3 linked regions of the Arabidopsis thaliana genome follow. The protein of the gene in region 1 binds, or shares a complex with, the protein of each later gene. Each region holds a gene or a part of one and is shown on either strand. Other genes may lie near its edges.

What was found.
Region 2: AT1G55750 (region 1) and GTF2H2 share a complex: the UniProt entries of both Arabidopsis thaliana proteins name them as parts of the 7-subunit TFIIH core complex.
Region 3: AT1G55750 (region 1) and AT4G17020 share a complex: the UniProt entries of both Arabidopsis thaliana proteins name them as parts of the 7-subunit TFIIH core complex.

The regions. Positions count from the first base shown.
Region 1 is NC_003070.9:20,839,873-20,847,516, forward strand, and holds AT1G55750 (BSD domain (BTF2-like transcription factors, Synapse-associated proteins and DOS2-like proteins)), read right to left. Parts: upstream 6,028-7,644; 5' UTR 5,993-6,027; intron 5,724-5,992; 5' UTR 5,264-5,723; coding exon 5,183-5,263; intron 5,097-5,182; coding exon 5,018-5,096; intron 4,889-5,017; coding exon 4,827-4,888; intron 4,720-4,826; coding exon 4,656-4,719; intron 4,557-4,655; coding exon 4,442-4,556; intron 4,348-4,441; coding exon 4,272-4,347; intron 4,193-4,271; coding exon 4,097-4,192; intron 3,881-4,096; coding exon 3,836-3,880; intron 3,488-3,835; coding exon 3,431-3,487; intron 3,332-3,430; coding exon 3,176-3,331; intron 3,079-3,175; coding exon 3,013-3,078; intron 2,512-3,012; coding exon 2,388-2,511; intron 2,239-2,387; coding exon 2,182-2,238; intron 2,098-2,181; coding exon 1,970-2,097; intron 1,886-1,969; coding exon 1,712-1,885; intron 1,618-1,711; coding exon 1,504-1,617; coding exon of another isoform or gene 1,450-1,503; exon of another isoform or gene 1,390-1,449; coding exon 1,312-1,389; coding exon of another isoform or gene 1,249-1,311; exon of another isoform or gene 1,151-1,248; and 7 more. Other genes in the region: AT1G55755 (uncharacterized protein), read left to right, coding at 6,243-6,294, 7,261-7,396; AT1G55760 (BTB/POZ domain-containing protein), read right to left, coding at 7,245-7,644. UniProt on the Arabidopsis thaliana protein: Component of the general transcription and DNA repair factor IIH (TFIIH) core complex, which is involved in general and transcription-coupled nucleotide excision repair (NER) of damaged DNA and, when complexed to CAK, in RNA transcription by RNA polymerase II.
Region 2 is NC_003070.9:1,448,101-1,452,795, forward strand, and holds GTF2H2 (general transcription factor II H2), read right to left. Parts: upstream 2,802-4,695; 5' UTR 2,753-2,801; coding exon 2,477-2,752; intron 2,075-2,476; coding exon 1,613-2,074; intron 1,516-1,612; coding exon 1,137-1,515; intron 962-1,136; coding exon 813-961; 3' UTR 531-812; downstream 1-530. Other genes in the region: AT1G05040 (UBA-like domain protein), read right to left, coding at 41-348; AT1G05060 (coiled-coil protein), read right to left, coding at 3,155-3,262, 3,351-3,437, 3,565-3,656, 4,195-4,319, 4,409-4,695. UniProt on the Arabidopsis thaliana protein: Component of the general transcription and DNA repair factor IIH (TFIIH) core complex, which is involved in general and transcription-coupled nucleotide excision repair (NER) of damaged DNA and, when complexed to CAK, in RNA transcription by RNA polymerase II.
Region 3 is NC_003075.7:9,577,345-9,583,321, forward strand, and holds AT4G17020 (transcription factor-like protein), read right to left. Parts: upstream 4,096-5,977; 5' UTR 3,739-4,095; coding exon 3,626-3,738; intron 3,556-3,625; coding exon 3,388-3,555; intron 3,133-3,387; coding exon 3,064-3,132; intron 2,970-3,063; coding exon 2,876-2,969; intron 2,757-2,875; coding exon 2,656-2,756; intron 2,575-2,655; coding exon 2,529-2,574; intron 2,455-2,528; coding exon 2,395-2,454; intron 2,316-2,394; coding exon 2,247-2,315; intron 2,135-2,246; coding exon 2,051-2,134; intron 1,929-2,050; coding exon 1,845-1,928; intron 1,749-1,844; coding exon 1,663-1,748; intron 1,573-1,662; coding exon 1,482-1,572; intron 1,329-1,481; coding exon 1,248-1,328; intron 1,110-1,247; coding exon 1,035-1,109; intron 946-1,034; coding exon 812-945; coding exon of another isoform or gene 808-811; exon of another isoform or gene 723-807; coding exon 629-722; coding exon of another isoform or gene 595-628; 3' UTR 531-594; downstream 1-530. Other genes in the region: AT4G17010 (transcription factor IIIB), read left to right, coding at 29-283; EXLB1 (expansin-like B1), read right to left, coding at 4,473-4,670, 4,806-5,117, 5,249-5,358, 5,705-5,837. UniProt on the Arabidopsis thaliana protein: Component of the general transcription and DNA repair factor IIH (TFIIH) core complex, which is involved in general and transcription-coupled nucleotide excision repair (NER) of damaged DNA and, when complexed to CAK, in RNA transcription by RNA polymerase II.

The sequences.
Region 1 (7,644 bases):
TTGAATTTTGTATGTCATGTCAATATGACAAGCAATGAGTAACTTTATCTGTTTTTATTTTTTTCCTCACAATGAGTAAATTAATCATTCAAATCAAAAGTTATCCATGAATGCTATGTCAAAAAAAGTTTTATGTTGAATTTTATATATTTCTAATTTGGATTGTTGTTTGATGCGATTCAAACATTGAAATCTACTACGCCATCGAAGCATTTTCTCTATTATTGTCCCATTATTATAAATATTCACCAGTAACCAAATAACCAAACAATTATGGCACTGAGAGCTTTCTTGGAGCTGTAGTAACGTCCTCAAAGCCTGTAGAGAATTTACTAATACATTGCAAACTTAAAAATGTTCAGATCGAGAAAATCTCTTTGTTGTCTCTCGCAGTTAACAATATAACGCCTAATTAACAAAAAAAAGAAAAGAAAATATTACTACAATATAAACGCATTTTTGTATCTCAATGGTCGGACAAAAAGGGACAAATGAAGATTTTCAAAAACACCAACCAAGGCTGATGAAACAATTCAAAGATCTTGCAAAGCTTTTTAGTTTTAGTTTTTTTGTCCTCTATACGTAGCCGTTTGGTCTTTCGCCGCTCTTAGCTGTTCTTCTCTGCAGATCCACTTCGTAGTGATGGAACGCAGCGTCAAGAGCCTAGCAGAGAAAACCGATTAAGATCAATTTTCAAACCGGATTACAATGCAAGGCTGTAGAAACTGGATATAGATGCAATATGAGTGGAAAATATAGACTTAACCGAGACATGATGTAATAAAAGTATAAAACTCTTCCGTAGATATTGGAAGAAGCTAACCTGTTGCATTGGACGAACCAGTAGAGAAACCTGATGCCGGAGATCAGATTGCACCGACTCTTTCATTGCCTGAGTTACATGGAGTTTAATATCAAGGAAACCGTACAGTTGACCATATATATGCAAATAAGATTCGACTACAATACTGCATCAATTTTATTTACCCAAAAATTTCATTTTCGTAAACGCATTGGTATGATTAGGAACTACTGTTTTAACATAGCAGATTTACTATCAGTTGCTTATTCTGTCAGAAAGATGAAGAATTTCAAAGCTTACCTCAAGTTTTGAATATGTATTGGACATTGCATCCTTCAGTTTACCAACCTGCATGATAATAATATAACATCACAAGAATCGACGAAAAATATTTGGTATAATAACTTGCTCTTGGTGTATAATAAGATTAAATTTCCCGTGAAAGCCTAGGAATCAATATATATAGCAATTTCTGGGACTGGGAGATTTGAAAATTGCAATAACATTACCTTGGTATGAAGATATGTGGTTGTTATCGGATAAGATGACCAAAAATGTTTCAGTAATTCTTGTATTGATGTCCAATGCTGTAGATGAAAGAAGAAAAGTCCTCTTATCCATATGCATTACTACCTAATCTTCACTAACTAGTACATATAGAGCTTCTTGTCACTTAGGACACTGGAAAATGTCGGACTTACGTGTAGAACTTCATCCTTAGTGGACTTTGGTAATCTGTCCAGAAAGCTCTCTCGTGGGTTCTTCCCATTAATATTTTTAGCAGTTGCAATGGTTCGGGTTAACGAACTGAAAACCTGAATAGGGTTAGCAATTTTTAGCTCAGGCAACAAAGCAATAAGTAATGATTTCTTTTGTCAGCACACTTTTTATTATGTGACAGAATAGCACCTCGAAAGAAACTTCAGGCTTAATCAACGGATCACTTAATCCTGTAGCTCTAATCTCTAAAATGGATTCCTTTAGTAATCCATAAGCTTCATGGACATTTCTCTTCAAGCCCTTTGCTCCTCTGGGTACATTGAGGACGTTTCCTTGTTGAGATTCAAAGTAATCACGAGGATCCTGATTCCAAAGAAGAAAGGGTAAGCGGATTAACGCAGCATCCATCATCAATTGTGAAAACCTTATATTGGCAGAAAGCCAAACCTTGATAGAAAGCGGCGCCAATGGGAAATTTTGTGGTGCTTGAAGATCCTCCATTCCTGCTACCCGGGACATTCTTTCCAATCTCTCCTGATTAGCGTCCTTGGTGGTTTCACCATCAGCTTTGCTTACTAACAGGGGTGTAAAATAGAGATGGATAGCAAGGTCAGATGAATAAAAAGCGTGGCATTGTTTAGCAGAATGAAACATCATACCTTGTTTAACCCGTGTGAGAGCCTCTGCAACAATCCTTGTATCTTCTGACTCAACATCTGCTTTCCAATTACAGGAATATTATTGTATATTTACCACCAAGAACTAAAGTCAAAAGGCCAACATAAATGTTTACACTTCCTGAACTATCTACTGTTATAAAATATTCAGATAAAAAGATTCAAATGAGGTTCTTAGAGGTGTTTACCAATGCTTCTGCCTTCCAATACAACAGCAGCATGACGATTAAGATCTTGCAAAAGTGATCGTTTAAACTGATCATTTTGTGGTTCAACAACATCCATGGTGCCATCACGCTGGATCCCGTGGTCCTGTGTTATGGGAAAGTTATATTAAGTACGATAAAGTGTATTGAAAATAACGTTTCAACCGCATACAAAGAGCACAATGTCAATGTTAAGATTAATATTTTCTAGATATCAGTTTTGAGCTCCTTCTCACACATGCTAATATTAAAGTAGTGGTCTTGTGAAAAAGCAAAAGCACTAATTCAGAGTTATTTGAAAGAAACTAAATTCCTGATTTAACAATTCAAATTAGGTTCGCTGAGAATTCTAGAAGAAAGAAACAAGTGACACACATTGGTACAGGTTTGATTCTTAACACCGTTAGTATTATCCCAGTTCTTCCCATACTATTTCTACTAGGGATAGACAATACGTAAACATCAACACTACAAACCTCGATGAAAGACTTATTCTATGTGTGAATCTGTACAGTGTTAACTGAGCATTGAACTTTCCTTTCAACAACCATTGTTGCGCAATTTGGAAATTATCCAAACCTTTCACATGCAGTGGTAGTTGACTTACCATAAGATGAGTGTAGTCGTCTCCCTGGTCAGCCTCCATGTCAAGAGTTGGATCAACCCGTCTAATCTACAGAGATGACATTTAAATCAGATGGATATGCCACAAATATTTTCTTTTCAAACAAAATATATGATAAATGATTAAACCATAGAAGAAACCTAACCTTGTGACGAGTTTCCCGAGCCAATATCTCATCAGGCTTCAGAAAGACAGCGAGTTCCTCGTCCTCAGCAGCTTCTGCTGCAGCTACTGCTGTATTTTTGGTGCTGTAAAGATATTCTGCTCTAAAATATTTTGTCCAGAAGTCTTTTTCTGTCATCTGGCGTAGGAAAATAACTACCAAAGCCAGTTAAGATTCGTCGTATTTGAGGGTTAACCTTATAAACAAAGATGGTCACAGTGAGCTGGTCTTTGTTACCTTACTCGGAACATAATTGATGAATGCCTGCCGAACAGCTGGCTTCTCAGCAAAAATCTGAAAGCGTAATGAAGAAAACATAAGTAAGAAAAGGACTGTAGCAGTTACGAAAGTAACATTTAAGTTACTTGCAATGGATTTACTGGCTAAGCAAGCACAAGATAGAATGTGGGTGAAAGACTGTTAAAAAAGTTTATATTCCTCATTTGTAGTTTCAGATTGGACTAGAAGTTCAAGCACATGATGCAACCTGAACACCTAACAATGGATTTCTGACCCAATATATCACTAGCTGCAACTTCAACCCCATAACATATAAAAAACTTATGATGACGACCTTGGAGGGATTCAGAAACTGATAGAGCAGTTACACTAATGACAAACATAGTGAACCAAAGAGCTCACCTGAAAAATTATCTCAGGTGTCAAGTTAAACGTCACTCTATTAGTCTGAAAGAAGAAAAATGAAGAAAGTGGTTAGTAAACCAGCAGAGATGTCACATGATAATATGATATATATCAACATATGAATGTAATTCAGTCGAACACATCAGTGTATGGTCATATAGATGCATTGTTTCTTTCCTACAAAAGCAGGCACATGAAAATGCTAACTAAATTGGCTGTACTAACTGCCAGAAAGGAGTTGAGATAACTATACCATACCCGCCCATCAGTAGATGGTTTGATGCCAGAAACCATCATGCTCTTAAGCCCGAGCTGCTGTTTTGACTTTCTGATGGAATCTTTACCAAGTAATTTCTGCAGCCAGAATAAAGTCGGTAACTATGAAGACATTGAAGAGAACAAAATTTTTAAAAAAATCAAACAAAGAACCAACCTTTCTTGTAGCCCAGAATTCATCTTCAGTCAGTACTTTACTTTCCACAAATTGCTTATGCAATCTCTGCAGCTCACTTTAAATCACGTATGTTACTCATATTAGAAGGAACTTGATGAGCCAATGAAACTTTGAACCCAAAAAGGCAACTTAATGTTCCAATTACATACCTATTTTCTCTCAGAAGCTTGAAGCGCAGCTCCAATTCCTTAATACTGAGTTGCTCGGAAGATGTCGAGACAACGGATTTATTAGGCTCCAATTCACATTTAGCAAGGGCCTTAGCTGTTTATAGTAAAAAAGAGGTTACAGAAACACCACGAAAGAAAACAAGAGAAATACTTTCCCAATCAATAAAAGCAAACCAAGGGACATGGAGGTTACTGATGAAATCACGGCAAGCATGCATGTCGGGATAATTTTCAAACTCAAAGATATGACTCTTTGCCTACAATCAAGGATGAGGAAACCTCAATGAACACAGAGATATAGCTTCAAAATTCACATATCTATAATGTATCATAGCTTTAATCAAAAAATGTCAACAGAAAAAACCTGCTTGTTGGTGAGATTGAGCCAAGGAGGTTTATTTGATCCTTCTTTGGTATATTTTTGACCTGAGAGATTGAACAAACACAGTGAAATTTGATAATGACTATGCAGCTATCATCATAACTGAAATCGTTTATCAACACAACATCTATTATCCAATAAGCAATGTTAATGAGAAAAGGTACAAACAATACTTTTGATGTTCTGAGTAAGTACTTTGAGCTTAGAATCTGATTTGGGATCATTAGGGACGAAGAGCAACATCCCTTCTCTCTGCAAATTTTTCGATTTTGCAAAAGAAACAGTTAAGCTGAGAGATAATATAACTCAAATAAGAGCGAAAAGTGTAATCTTCATACAATTCTGAGAAATCCAGGAGTTCCTGGATCCTTGACAGTGCTCTTGTATTTGACTAGCTTCTCTATTTGCCCACCAGCCATATCCAACTGTAGAAACGGTGGTTCTCTGTTTTCCAGTCGATCAATTCATCGGAAATCAAGCGAAATTGGAATCTAGGTTTATACTATAGAACGGGAATAAGTATCCGACCCGAATCATGACCCAACTTACTGACCCGAATTAAACTGCTACGGCCCATTATGATTGGTCATGTGATAAAATGAACAAAAAGTCAAAACTAATTAGGGGCATCAAAATGTAAGATTCATCCTTATGTCGATTTTCATCTGATCAAAGACCGGTGTGTAGATATCCGACCAAGCTTTCTTGAGAGGAGAGTACCGGTTCGGTGGAACGGCTACTTCTCTAAACTGAACTTTCCCATCAGACATTTCATGAGCCTTCAAAGTTCAATGGCTTAACCGTCATAGGCTCGGTTTCAGTTGCGGATTGAATAGACTCTGCCATGGACTTTAACACCTTCAATGACTAAATTCAAACCTGTAAAATAGCATACAACACCTTAAATTATGATAGTCTCACGACTATAATCAATATGTACCAAATTCTGTAATCTCTAGTATAAATCAATAATGAGGATAGACACAGAAAAGAAGAAAAGATACATATTTGTGCATTTATCAACTAAATTGACATCGACAAAAAAAGACCACAAACCAGATAAAGCTTCAAACGATAGATTTTTTTTGAAAGCTCTATAGAATTGAAGCTGATTACTGTACAGAAGAAGAAAAGAGTAGCTGGCTTACTAGAGGATGTCGACGGCTGAAGAAGAAGAAGGTAGACGTAGAAAGAGTTTTGAGTTCGAAATTTGGGAGGTTTTTTTGATTAGGGATCTATTTATTACAGAATGAAACGACGTCTTTAATATTTTGGGCCACTAATAAGGCCCATTATTGACGTAGTTCGTTTGCCGGGAAAAAATAATTGAAAAAAAATCTTCATTTTCCAGCATCTTATGAAGAACAATATTCCCTCTCTTCAAAATTGGAGGAAGAGATGAAGCGAATCTCAGATTCGAAGATGAAGAAGGCGATGGTGGTGGTGATAGGTAGCTGTCGAAGGTAAGTTTCTTCTGCAAGGAAATTCCATTTTGTTGTTTTCGTCGTTTTCATTTTGCGATTCTATTAGACCCATATCGGTTTACTTGTCTGATTCTTCTTTTTCACTTTGATTTTTCCTACGCATGAACACCATCCATTCCATATATCAGATTCGTGCGACATTCTAGTTTCTGATTATTTGGCAGTCACAGAGATTTCCTGATTCGAGTTCGTTTCTATGTAATTTCCTCTTAGTTTTCCGGCATTGTGGCGGATCTCAGAGGTCTTAGAGTCTGATTTTGTTTCCATTGAAGACGATCTGAAATCGCTTATGTAGCTATTGATTCAGTTTCAGGGAGTTGTTTTCTGATTTTTTTTTTTCCGGAGATTTGGTTTCTGTAAACCATGTAGTACTCACATTGGTATGTAGCACAGATTCTAGTCTTAGAGTAGAAGAATGTATATATTCCTCTGTTTTGAATTTTTCATATTAGCTAAGAAACTAGTTGGTTGATTCTCTGAAACTACTGAACCATTCCTGTTGAATTTGCTTGTAGCATGATATGTTTTAACATCTGTCACCATTACAATAAACTAGGGAAGATTACAGATCATGGGAGGATATGTATGTTTAGCTTTTTAGCTTGGTATAACTTTAGTATCATGAATCGGGTAAAATTGCTAAAAGATGATTGTAGATTTTACTTTAAAAGTTCAGAAAACTATATTAGTGTTATAGATTAACAATTCAAAGTTCAAGCTAAGAAGCTCACATTCAATCAAATCATGAATTTACATGTTGCTGTCTTATCCTTGTAAGGACAATACTTGGGTTTTGAGTTAAAACCCCCAATACTTTAATCTGTACATAAAGACCAACAAATCCTTTTGCACAAAAAATCAGTGTCCATAAATGTATTTTGTATAATTATAGCACACATACCCTTTCTGATTTCCCCTAAAATCCTTTCCAGGTACTGAGGACTTCGTGGAAGATTTCAGAAATCAAATCTCTGTCTGCGCATTGCATGAATATGTTGAACTCGTCTCGGATCTCAAATATTTTGCCAAACTTCACAAGATATCTCATGCAGCTAGCCTTCAGTTCAGGTAATTGATAGAGATAAGCATTCTGTAGCCTCTCAAGCACATTCTTTGTGTCGATATCGTCTAGAAGACTCAAGTGGCACGCCTCTTTTAAATCAGCAATATCATATTTCTCAGCTGCTTGGAGGAGTGCCAATCTGTGTATAAGAAAGTCTTCGTTTTGGATATTGCCGTAGATATAACTGAGAAAAGCTTGGCAAGCATCAAGTGGCATGTCGAGTACGTTTATTTCTGATAGTTCTTTCTCTTTC
Region 2 (4,695 bases), about 19 Mb from region 1:
ATTTGGATTACCGAGCCCTTAATATTATTAAATCACCCACCTGGTGGCCAAAGCACCCGTATCAGAGCTTTTCGTTATGGTTATCTCATCTTGGCGCATCTTCAGCGTAAATTCCGAGACAGAGGTAGTAGAGTATCTTCTTCTTAAAGGAGATCGAGATCGCTCTCGCCATTCATTCACCCTCCGTGGAGTCGCTCTTATTTTGAGCGGAGGAAGTTGATCACCGAGGAAACCAGAGATGGCGTCTTCGAGATTCCAGTCGAATCCTTCAAGGTAGTAGAATGCTGCATCTTTACACGCAGACGTTGCCTTGCAGAACCTAGTGACGTTAGTATCTTCTTCCTTCATGGTGGTGTTAGGGACTTTTCTCAAAGATTAAGTACGTTGTTTACTTATGACAATCACTAAGAATTGTTTCACTTAGATCTAATATAAAAGCTTCTAACAAACAGAGAGATATTTAGGGAAGTAGTTGCGACCTTGTCATGACAGTATCAACAAACAACTGATGATACGGTCTCCTTTTGTTTACCACCGAAATAATTCTTTATTACTACTGTTCGTTTTCTCATGAGTGAAGAAATTTCAAGCCCAAGTTAAATAGAAAATCAAACAATTAAGAATGCTATCTCTGAAAATTTGAGTCGGTTTGTTTTGGATCAATTGTGAGAGAGCAATAGAGTCCACAAAAGAAGAAAGATTTTGGTTAAGGACATAAGACCAATTACAACATCCTATATCACAAAAAAAATTGCTTCCTCTCATCATCTCAATTGTGATTTATAATTGGAAGTGTGAACACATTCATTCTCTCATTCTTCCATCAAAGAAACTGATTTGGGACGGTGAATGCTCTCACAGCCAGGACAGTTGTGTAAGCTCTCGTGGATGTATATGTCACAGTCCAGACAGAAATAGTGCTTGCATTTACGACATGTTACGCATGGGACGGGTTTATTCCCTAAGCAAAAAACAAAAGCACCAATGAGCCTTTATATTTGAGTGAATGGATCGGTTACTTTGTATATACTATGACAAGGGTGAACCGTATCTTAAGTTCAACTACTGGTCTAGTGACCAAATGGTTATTCAACCAACAGTATTAAGACTCTATAAAATGGTGTTCAAGTAGTTACCTGCACCAATTAGGCTCTGTTGGCAACCAAAACAACTCTTTCCCAATTTTCTCCGATTATCATTCAGACTTGAAAGTGCAGGCACCTCATCAAATGGAGCAATCGGGAAGAGATGATGGTATGATCTCGCCAAATGCGGCGAAGAAACAAGTGTTAGACCGCAGATAGTGCATTCCGTAGGGAGGTCACATACCCGAGCTTTGCATCTTGGGCACATGTAACCAGCTCCAATCTTAACTTCCTTATGACACGAACAAATCGCCATTGAACCCTCAGCAGCTCTTTGTGGGAAACCCATCTTGATCAAATTTGCAATTGCAAATTCTGCTATTGCCGGAGGTGGAGGCGCATGTTCAAGCAGAAGATCCTTTAGATGCACCTGCGTGAAAAGACAAATACACACAAAGCACAATGTTATACCATACAAAACAAGTTTTTCAAAGGTCCAAGTGTAAGTAGAAGGTAGCTAAACTCACCTCGTCCACTGCAACTGAATACAATCCGCCAGTTTCCTGGCAGAGGTGTTTACATATGAACATTTCTGCAGAGAGCCCAATTACAGAACATCTTAATTTGGATTTCTTGCATTTTTGAATGGTCTCCATGATATCGCCTGGATCACATGTGCATAAAGCTGAGTACAATATCAGAACCTCGCGGTGACCATAAGATGGAACCTGGTTGAGATGCTCATGTACAAGTTCCAGAGCGTTCTGCAAAGAGGAGTCACCCAAAGCTTCCAACTTCCCCATCAACGCTTTGATGTGAGTCTCAGGACTACCACCAAGATCTGTTAATGTATGCGCAACTCCATTTTTTATAGAGACCAACCCAATTTGACTCAGAGGATTCTGGTCAAAGAACTCTCTAATGAAAGCTTCGACATGTTTGGCCATTATAGCCATCCGGCTTGGTCTGAAATCCATTTCCGCAGCTGCCTAGACACGACAAAACAGTCCAAAGTGTAAGACTTTGCATACCTTGGAACTAGAGAAATTTGAACCCAAATCATAATGTTGCCTTCAATAAAGAATCTGAATAAGGATCACATCCTTAAGCTCTACAAACCCACTTAGAGTAAGATTATCATTGCAAACAATACAGAGCCAATTATAGAACCTATTGAGAAGACTAAAGAGCAGAGATCTCCAAAACTAGAACGACGATTACATTAAAGTTACTTATCAGTGACCCAAAGTGCATAGTTTCTCTTTTATATAAGCTCTGATGAAAGCAACATAAGCTCAATTTCACGCCATCAAACTCAAAGGAAACGGCATTGAAGCTAAAAATCACAAAATCAGCAGCAGCAGCGGCGGATTGCAAAGAAAAATATTTACCCGAGAGAAGTCAATGACGATGTAGAGATATCGAATAAGTCCCTTTTGGATACGAGTACCAGCAGCAGCGGCGGAGAGCATACGAAGACGGCGGCGATACTGAGCATGGTAAATGGCACTGTTATCAATTGGCCGTAAAAGTCCAGACTCATCCTCTTGCAACTCCTCCCAGGATCGGTCGTCAACATAAGCTCTCTCCCACTCGCCGATACCTTCCGCATCTTCGTCGTCCTCTTCTTCTCTTTCATCGTTTGATCTCTTTCTTTGATTACTCATCGTTAACCTCACCGTCTAAGAGACCTAATTACAAAAAGAAGAAGAGAACTCTACTGAAGCCAAAATTTACATAAACAACCCTTACTTATTATAACGTTCACAATTTTGACTGTAACTTCCTATTCTGTATATTTAACCCACCAATCCATGTCCAATCAGAAGTGAAACATTTTATTTTGCTTACACAATAGGAAACATTGATATTGAAACTCATAAAAACTTTATTATACAAAACTTAAATCACTCGATACAACCTTTATACAGCAACATTGAAACTTCTTAGTTCTTACAGCACAATATGATAATTTACCTAAGATCTTATTGAATCTTACAAACATATAGAACTTCTTCTTTGACTTTCTCTATCCACATGGTTACACATTAACCAAAGGTCTTGGCCTTTTAAGATTTAGGTCCCAGAATTTTCGAAAGCTCCTTCAAGATTGGTTTCTCCTTGATAGTATTACCACCTTCATTCTCAATATGCCACTTCTTCGACATGTTTTCAGCCTGAAATTTATGGTCTTTTCGGGTTAGTCTATTAATGATTATGATCCACTTCAGTTGAGAAGATGCAAGTATCTTTGTAAAACATTACCCAAGTTCTTAAGGGCTCTACTTGTTCCTTCATCGACTCCAGTTTTGGCTGAAAAAGATCTTTGCCTTTCGTTCTTATGTCATCAGCCTAACAGAACGAAAATCATACAATAAAACCAAGTAAGGCGATGATGGCATTCAAGATCAGTCAATAATGCTTAGAAATGCTAATCTAAATGATTTAAGTAAGAAAATGGAAACATATGCAATCTTACATTACGCATGTCAAGTTTCGAGGCTGCCGTTCCAAAAACCAAAGTGGCTGAACCAAAGATGATAATAGTAGCGGCTGCAAATGCTTTTCCAACTGCAGAAACCAGAAAAATCAGAGGGCTCGAGATTAGGCAAACTTTCCGAACACTTCACGACATCAATTAACATTAAAAGACAAAAGACAATAACAGAATCTCAATCTAAGCAATATTATCAACAATTTCTAGGCTGTGAGAGAGATACTTAGATTATTTGTCATCAGAGTCAAAAAGAGACAACCAGAAAGCAGTTGTTACATTAGACACTCATGAACCCTCAGCCACGGAAAATCTTGGCTTTCATAACCAAACAAACCAAAGTTTTCTCTAGTAAGCTGAAACCTTTCAGAATTACTGCCATTGCAGTCCCTAACAAGGTAAAATAGACAAGTTTGGGCAAGCAATTTACATGATCAACATTAACAAAAGCAAGGAAGTGAAAACAGAACACGTAAAGATAGCAATCCTTCTATCTCTAGCAAACAACCCAAATCTAGTCATGTTCCTCTGTAGGTAACTGTATCCATAAATCCAATTATCCACGTTCAAAAAGATTTGATTTGCAGATAAACAAAAGAAGAGAAGTGATCATACTATGTTGAAGCCCTTCACCAGCAGCTTTCAATTTCTCAGGATTTACAGGAGTGCCGTATCTGTCTCTCCTCAATTCATTAGCTGTTGACGCCAAAACCGAATTCTCAGATTCCGGTAAATCCCATCTGCAATAAAAATCGACACAAATTAACAACAAATCCAAAATTTTGAAATACTCATCAAGTGAAACAGAGTATAAAACCCTAATTTGAACCTTCTACGGCCGAAAGTGACTTGTGGCAGAGACACATAACCTCTGAGAGGATTCAAGACATCAGGGGATATAGAAACTGTTGCGTTCGGGTCAGATTCAAGAGCCCATTTGGAGAATTGGGAGAGAGACGAAGGATCAGGAGGACGACCATATATTTTGGAAGGAAGAGAATGGCGTAGAATCTCCGGAAGAACGTCAGGTTGAATTTCCGGTGGATCCGGCGGAGAAGATGGAAGCTTTTTGCCAGTGGCCGGAGATTTCTCGGCGAGACGATTAACGGCGTGTTT
Region 3 (5,977 bases), on another chromosome or scaffold:
GTATGTTTTGGGTCTTTTACCAATACAGGAGGCTCAAATTGAAGACTACTTCAAACCGATAGACAAGCATGCTAGTACCATAATGGAAATTCAGCTCGAAGGAGAGAAGAAAACGATGGGGACAATGATGAACGCAACACAACAGGAAGCTATACGAAAGATTGAAGAAGCTGAGAAACTCGCTCGGGCACGTGGAAATGCAAATGTGACTACAGATGCAAACATGGGAGATAAGATCCAGGATTCAGAGTCCTCAGCCAACGAAAAATCTCAAGCAAAATGAAGTCAGATCTTGTCTTCATGTTGACACAGAATAGATTCAGCGTCTCTGAATACATCCTCTTAGTTGATTAAACTGAGATTGTAGCCTCGCATTTGCTGAGGTTTTAATAATTTTGAAATTTGGTCAACTGAATAGAATCAAAACCGAGATTGTGTTCTGTCTAGCGTACAAGAAATTATAGAGGTGACCCTGGTTGGACCATCCCCAACGACCACGTTTTGTCAATATATGTTGTTTCAAACTTAACTTCGCCTAATAAAGTATATTGTGATTTACAATGGATCGGTCTTACAGCTTAAAGGTTTCAACTTTCAACTTCGTGGGTACCAACACCAAGTACTTTTCCTACGTTTGGGGTGCGCATGTGTTAGCAGGATAAAAACGATGGTAACTAATAGAGTAACAAGACATCAAATGGCTACTCTTTTTTCTCTTTCTGCTGAAACCTCACGAAAGACATAGTTTGTAGAATCGAAGCATGATGTTTTGTTTTAATACGAGAAGAAAATGTGAGTTTCTTCTTGTTACCTGCTTTGGGTATGAAGAAACTCACGCATCTGATTGTGAACTTCGGATTTCACAACAAGTCGCATTCTCTTAGAGTCTTCCCAAAGAAGGCCTCTCCATTCCCGAGCAAAGTCACAAGCTGCCTCAAACACATCCTGCTAACATGATTTTGGTTAATGAGATTTACTATAACGGTTTTGCGTTATGGAGAAGAGAAAATAATAAGAGGGTTCAGGTTTGTTACTTTTGAAGGAAATTCATCATAGAAGTGAGCCTGGGTCATCTCAATTCTCTGCAGATCTGTCTCCCAAAGCCGAATCTGCCAGAACAATGCATTTTTATTCAACATAAGCCTGATGAATCAGGACGTAGAGATAGTATACACTTTCAATTCTATAAACCAATCCTATACACATTTTTGTATAATCGACACTTGATGGGCATAGAGAGTATAAACCTGATCAGTGACATTTTCTGGAATAGATGGGACTCGATCAGCACATCGTGGATGAGAATTCTGCTGGAGGAAAGTTATAATCTGTGACAATCAAAAGAAAAGGAAAAAATATTTATTCAGAAACTATAAAGAGACGCATCAACAATTTGATCAACATTTCAAGGACAGTGAGGATCCGGGCAAAATCATGTATTCGATAACTTCAAAATGTTTTTCAACTGAAACCAACTGTACCTGATCTGATGTGATGCCATTGTCAAATGCATTGTACAAACTTTCCTTTGTAATGGCACAAGCAATAAGGTTTGGAAGTTGGTACTCTATCCTGGAAATAATGAAGCACCAACTACTTAGACCTAAAGGATTTTAAGACACAGAAGAGTAAAGTTTCAGGTCGATGTTCAGGAGCTTCTACCTCGCAAATAGTCGTAAAATTTCACACTGTAACTTAGATGTGGAGTACGCATACATTCTGAAGTTTGTTTCCATCACGACAAATCCCTGATGAGGAACAACAAACAACAGCGATACACAAAATCAAGAAAATTGTTGGTAGCAGGTAGATATGGGACAAGAGGGGAATAAAAAAGGTGTGACCTCTTTTCGCGCTGATGAATCTGCCAGACTGACTGATAAATTTGTAGCCAGTTTAGTAGGAATAAACCAACTGTCTTTCCTTCCCTTCAATAATCATAAAGACTGGCTCAGCATGTGATATAGTTCTATAATCATAACTTTAGCAAAGTTTTTTTTCTTTTGATATTTGGTAATAAAAAAAATATTACAAATGGTCTAAGTCTAACCTGTTGAAGCTTGACTAATCCCAAGTCTGCAAGGTCCTTGAGGGTATTGTTTTGAACCTCTGTCAAGGTATTTAAGTTATATGCCTGCAATGTGTAAGCTCACCGAAATAATTAACAAGCATCCCGCTAAATCAAGTAAGAGTAAAAACAAGAACAAGAACGCTTGAAATGACTTTTTTGTGAAGTTCTGTTATACCTGACCAGTAACATGAAAACTAAGCTCCAACAAAAACGAAATCAAGTCTGCTGGATCTACATCTCGCTCCTGAGAAACACTGGCATTGGGTTATCCATTCGGCGAAATAGAGATATCAATTTCACAAAACCTTAGGAATAATACAAACCTCGGCATTCAATATGTATTCTCGAATAATGTACCAAAGCTGGGCATTTGTATCCATCAGCTGAAAATTGAGGTCAATCAGGTTACTTACATGAATACAGGTAATTATAGACCACTGACTCACGATTTGCATACCAAAAACTGAAAGCCACTCTCAGTTAATCTCGGGCCATCTTTGTCTCTGCAATATTACATGAAGTGTATCAAATAGGGAGGCTATATGCCACCACTATGCATCTATAGACGTGTATGAAAACATTACCTCTGACTCAATAAACCTCGCTGAAAAATTTTCATCATGGATGAACTGATGCCAGTTAGTTTTTCACCTTGACCCGAATTTATAAGTTGTAGCAAGAAACACTGACAAACATAAGTACACATCATCAGATACTAACCAAGTTCATATTAAAAGATATTTGTTTTACAAATTACTTCCACCTTACTAGTATTATCAATAAGAAATTAGGAAATACACACACCTCCCATTGCTTAAGTGCATAGGTTTCGAGTTCTTGTAGGCTTGGAAGTTTAATGGCATTGTCGGAGTTCATAGGCTCTCTAGGCAAAACTCCACTGCAAAATTCAAATTTAGCTCATCAGCATCTTCTCCAAAAGCCTAGAGAAAAAACGAAAAAGGAGAGTACCGTCAATGTAAAGATGTCTTTACCCGGAAATAATATGTTTCTGAAGATTGTTCTGAAATGTAGGATTTAGGCTGTAGCTGGTTCCCCTTTTCCTGCAAAAGTACGAAGAGCAGCTTAAGAACTAAATCTGAACTATCATCTTGCCACATACAATCATAATCAATCCAAACACAGTAAATTGAAGTATAAGATGAAGCTCATAGGGTTCAATGCTCAAGTTAACATCCACCATCACTCTTTTAAATAAATATATCAAATAAACCCTCCAACGTGAATAGACAGAAGTATTGAACTAACTGAAATAAGTCAAATCATGACAGTATCAAGAATAAAGCAAGAATGCATACCTATCACTAATTTCTGAAAAAATCCTTAATTGAATCAGTCGATCAATAGCAACTCTATGTTTAGAGGTGCCATCTGCGAGCACCCACTCCTCCATCATCGTAGCAGGTACAGGAACATCAATGTACAACATCTGCAATACATACTTCTTGGCAAGAGGCGGCAAAGACCTGACACCATCTTAAGAATGTAAGATCCTCAATTTTTTCAAAATTCAACAACATAGACACATAAATTAACCTGAGAATGGCTTCGCAGATAAAGACATTGTTGTAGAGTTTGTCAAGCTTGATGGCTGGAAGTGACGCCACCATGTCCATGAAATTTTTAGCAATGATCTTAACTTGCGGCATCTTCACCAATTGGATTCCCTTACTCACTGGACCGGTTCTAAAAGAGCACAGTTTCCACGAAATTAGGGTTTATGCCACACAGCGATCAGCTCGAAGCAAACCTAGTTAACTAAAGCATCTCCTCAAAAAAAACAAATCCAAAACAGTTCTAAACAAGAACTCCAGAAAACAAATAAGGAAGGATTTAAAGTTTCGGGTTCGAGTTTGAGAACAATACAGAATTGAATTTAAAGTTTAGGTTCTCTCTTTTCTCGATGAGCTCTTCTACAATTGATCCCGATTATTTACTACCCAGAATCAAAGAAAACTGACGAAATCGATCGAAGAGGATGGCCAAGATAAATTAAGTTTTAATGGGCCTTGTGAATACTACTAATGGGCCTATCTATATAACAAAAATCGCGCCAATTTGTTTTCATGAAAATGGTTGATTAGGGAGAGATATATGCTTGACTGACCAAAATGTAAACAAAAAAAGCTTACGAAACGTTTGATCATCATCTGATAAATTGATTAGTACTGATTTATTCCATCAAAATCAAACTCATACAAACCATTACAATCTTCTTAGTGAGACACAATACATAAATTATATATGAATCTACTACGATTATTTATATTATCATCATTAATTATATTGTCCTAGAGGGCATTATTTAAATATATTAGCCATTGCATACAGAAACCATAATAAATACTATATGATAAAAACACACTGATGAAAAGTGAATCAATTAAGTAAGTAGAATGTTGGAGTCGTAGGTGGCTCCGGCAGTCCAATCAGCGGGAATAGCGTTTGGCGATTGGATCCAATTGATTCCTGCGCTTCCGTAGACTAAGAACCTCAATGTGAGAGTGCCTCTAGGTGGATTCTGCAAATCATGAACCGCTCCAAACACTCTTCTCATACGTCTCCACTCTTTGCAATCCTCCTAAAATCATACATATACATGCATACCATATAATAACGTTTAACTTTGTTTCACAAAATCATCTAAGAGTAAACTATATATTTTGATCCTCAAAAACATATATCTAAGTTTCTCAACATCTTTGATTAAATTTACCTGCCAGACTTCAACGGCGAGGATGTCATTAACACCACCAACGTACAAGACAAGGATGGCAAGATAATGAGGATTGTAGCTTTTCTCATGGATCTTATACACCAGATTATACCCTGCGTATCGGCAAGGGATCCTTTGGTACTCAACGTTGACTACACCGAAGGAGTAGAGCTGATTTTCTGTGCCGGGTCGCGCCATACGTCCGTACGCCTTAGGGCTTAAGATGAAGTCCGTGCCATCTCCTTCTCCGGAGTCCGTAGCCACTACGTATACTCCTTCCTCACTGCAGTGTGGTGGTATCTTGCACCTCACCTTTTTATAATTCATAAAATAAGTTTTTTTTTCTTTCATAATATAAGTTTAGTAATTAATGACATAGCATATACTATAATAATATTTGATGAAATATTGATTGAGATAAGTAGATAACTATATATAATAACCTGGTAACAAGCACCACAGCCAGTTCCATTGTTCCATAGTCGCCATGAAACACCACTCACTTCACCGTTATTGATATCTCTTCCAAATTCTCCATACCCACAATGTCCCCCTGCATCATCAAAAAATTAATTAATTATTCTTATTCTTTCGACAAATATTATGTATATTCTCATAATGGAAAGTTATCATTACTAATTACGCAGTTAATGGACACTTAGTGGACTCGTTTTCAATCATATATGTATTTAGAATTTGAATAAACCTTCAAAATAAAACAAAACAAGAAACCTATACGTAGATATAAAACAAAAATAATTAGTTATGGCTTATAGTGAGATATTACACCAATGTATCTTTTACCAATATATAACGTGTACAAGTCTATACAACAACTAAGAAAATGAAAAAGAATTAAGGTACACGATGTATATAGCAATAACAATTTTAATACGTACGAGGATTTGCTTTGCAATCGGGGCTGCCATAATAAGTAGCTCTAGAGTTAACAAAATCGTCGGATAGACAAAGGAGAGGCAAAAGGACAATGACTTGAACAAATAGAAGAAGCAAAACGTGAGAATGCTTCATATTGTTGTTATCTTATCTATAAATATTGTAAGATTATTAATACTTCTAACTCTTTTTCTTAACAAATGATAGGAATTGATAATAGAATTTCTTATCACAAAAGATAGTGAAGATAGATGAGAGACTTAGTAGGGTATTTA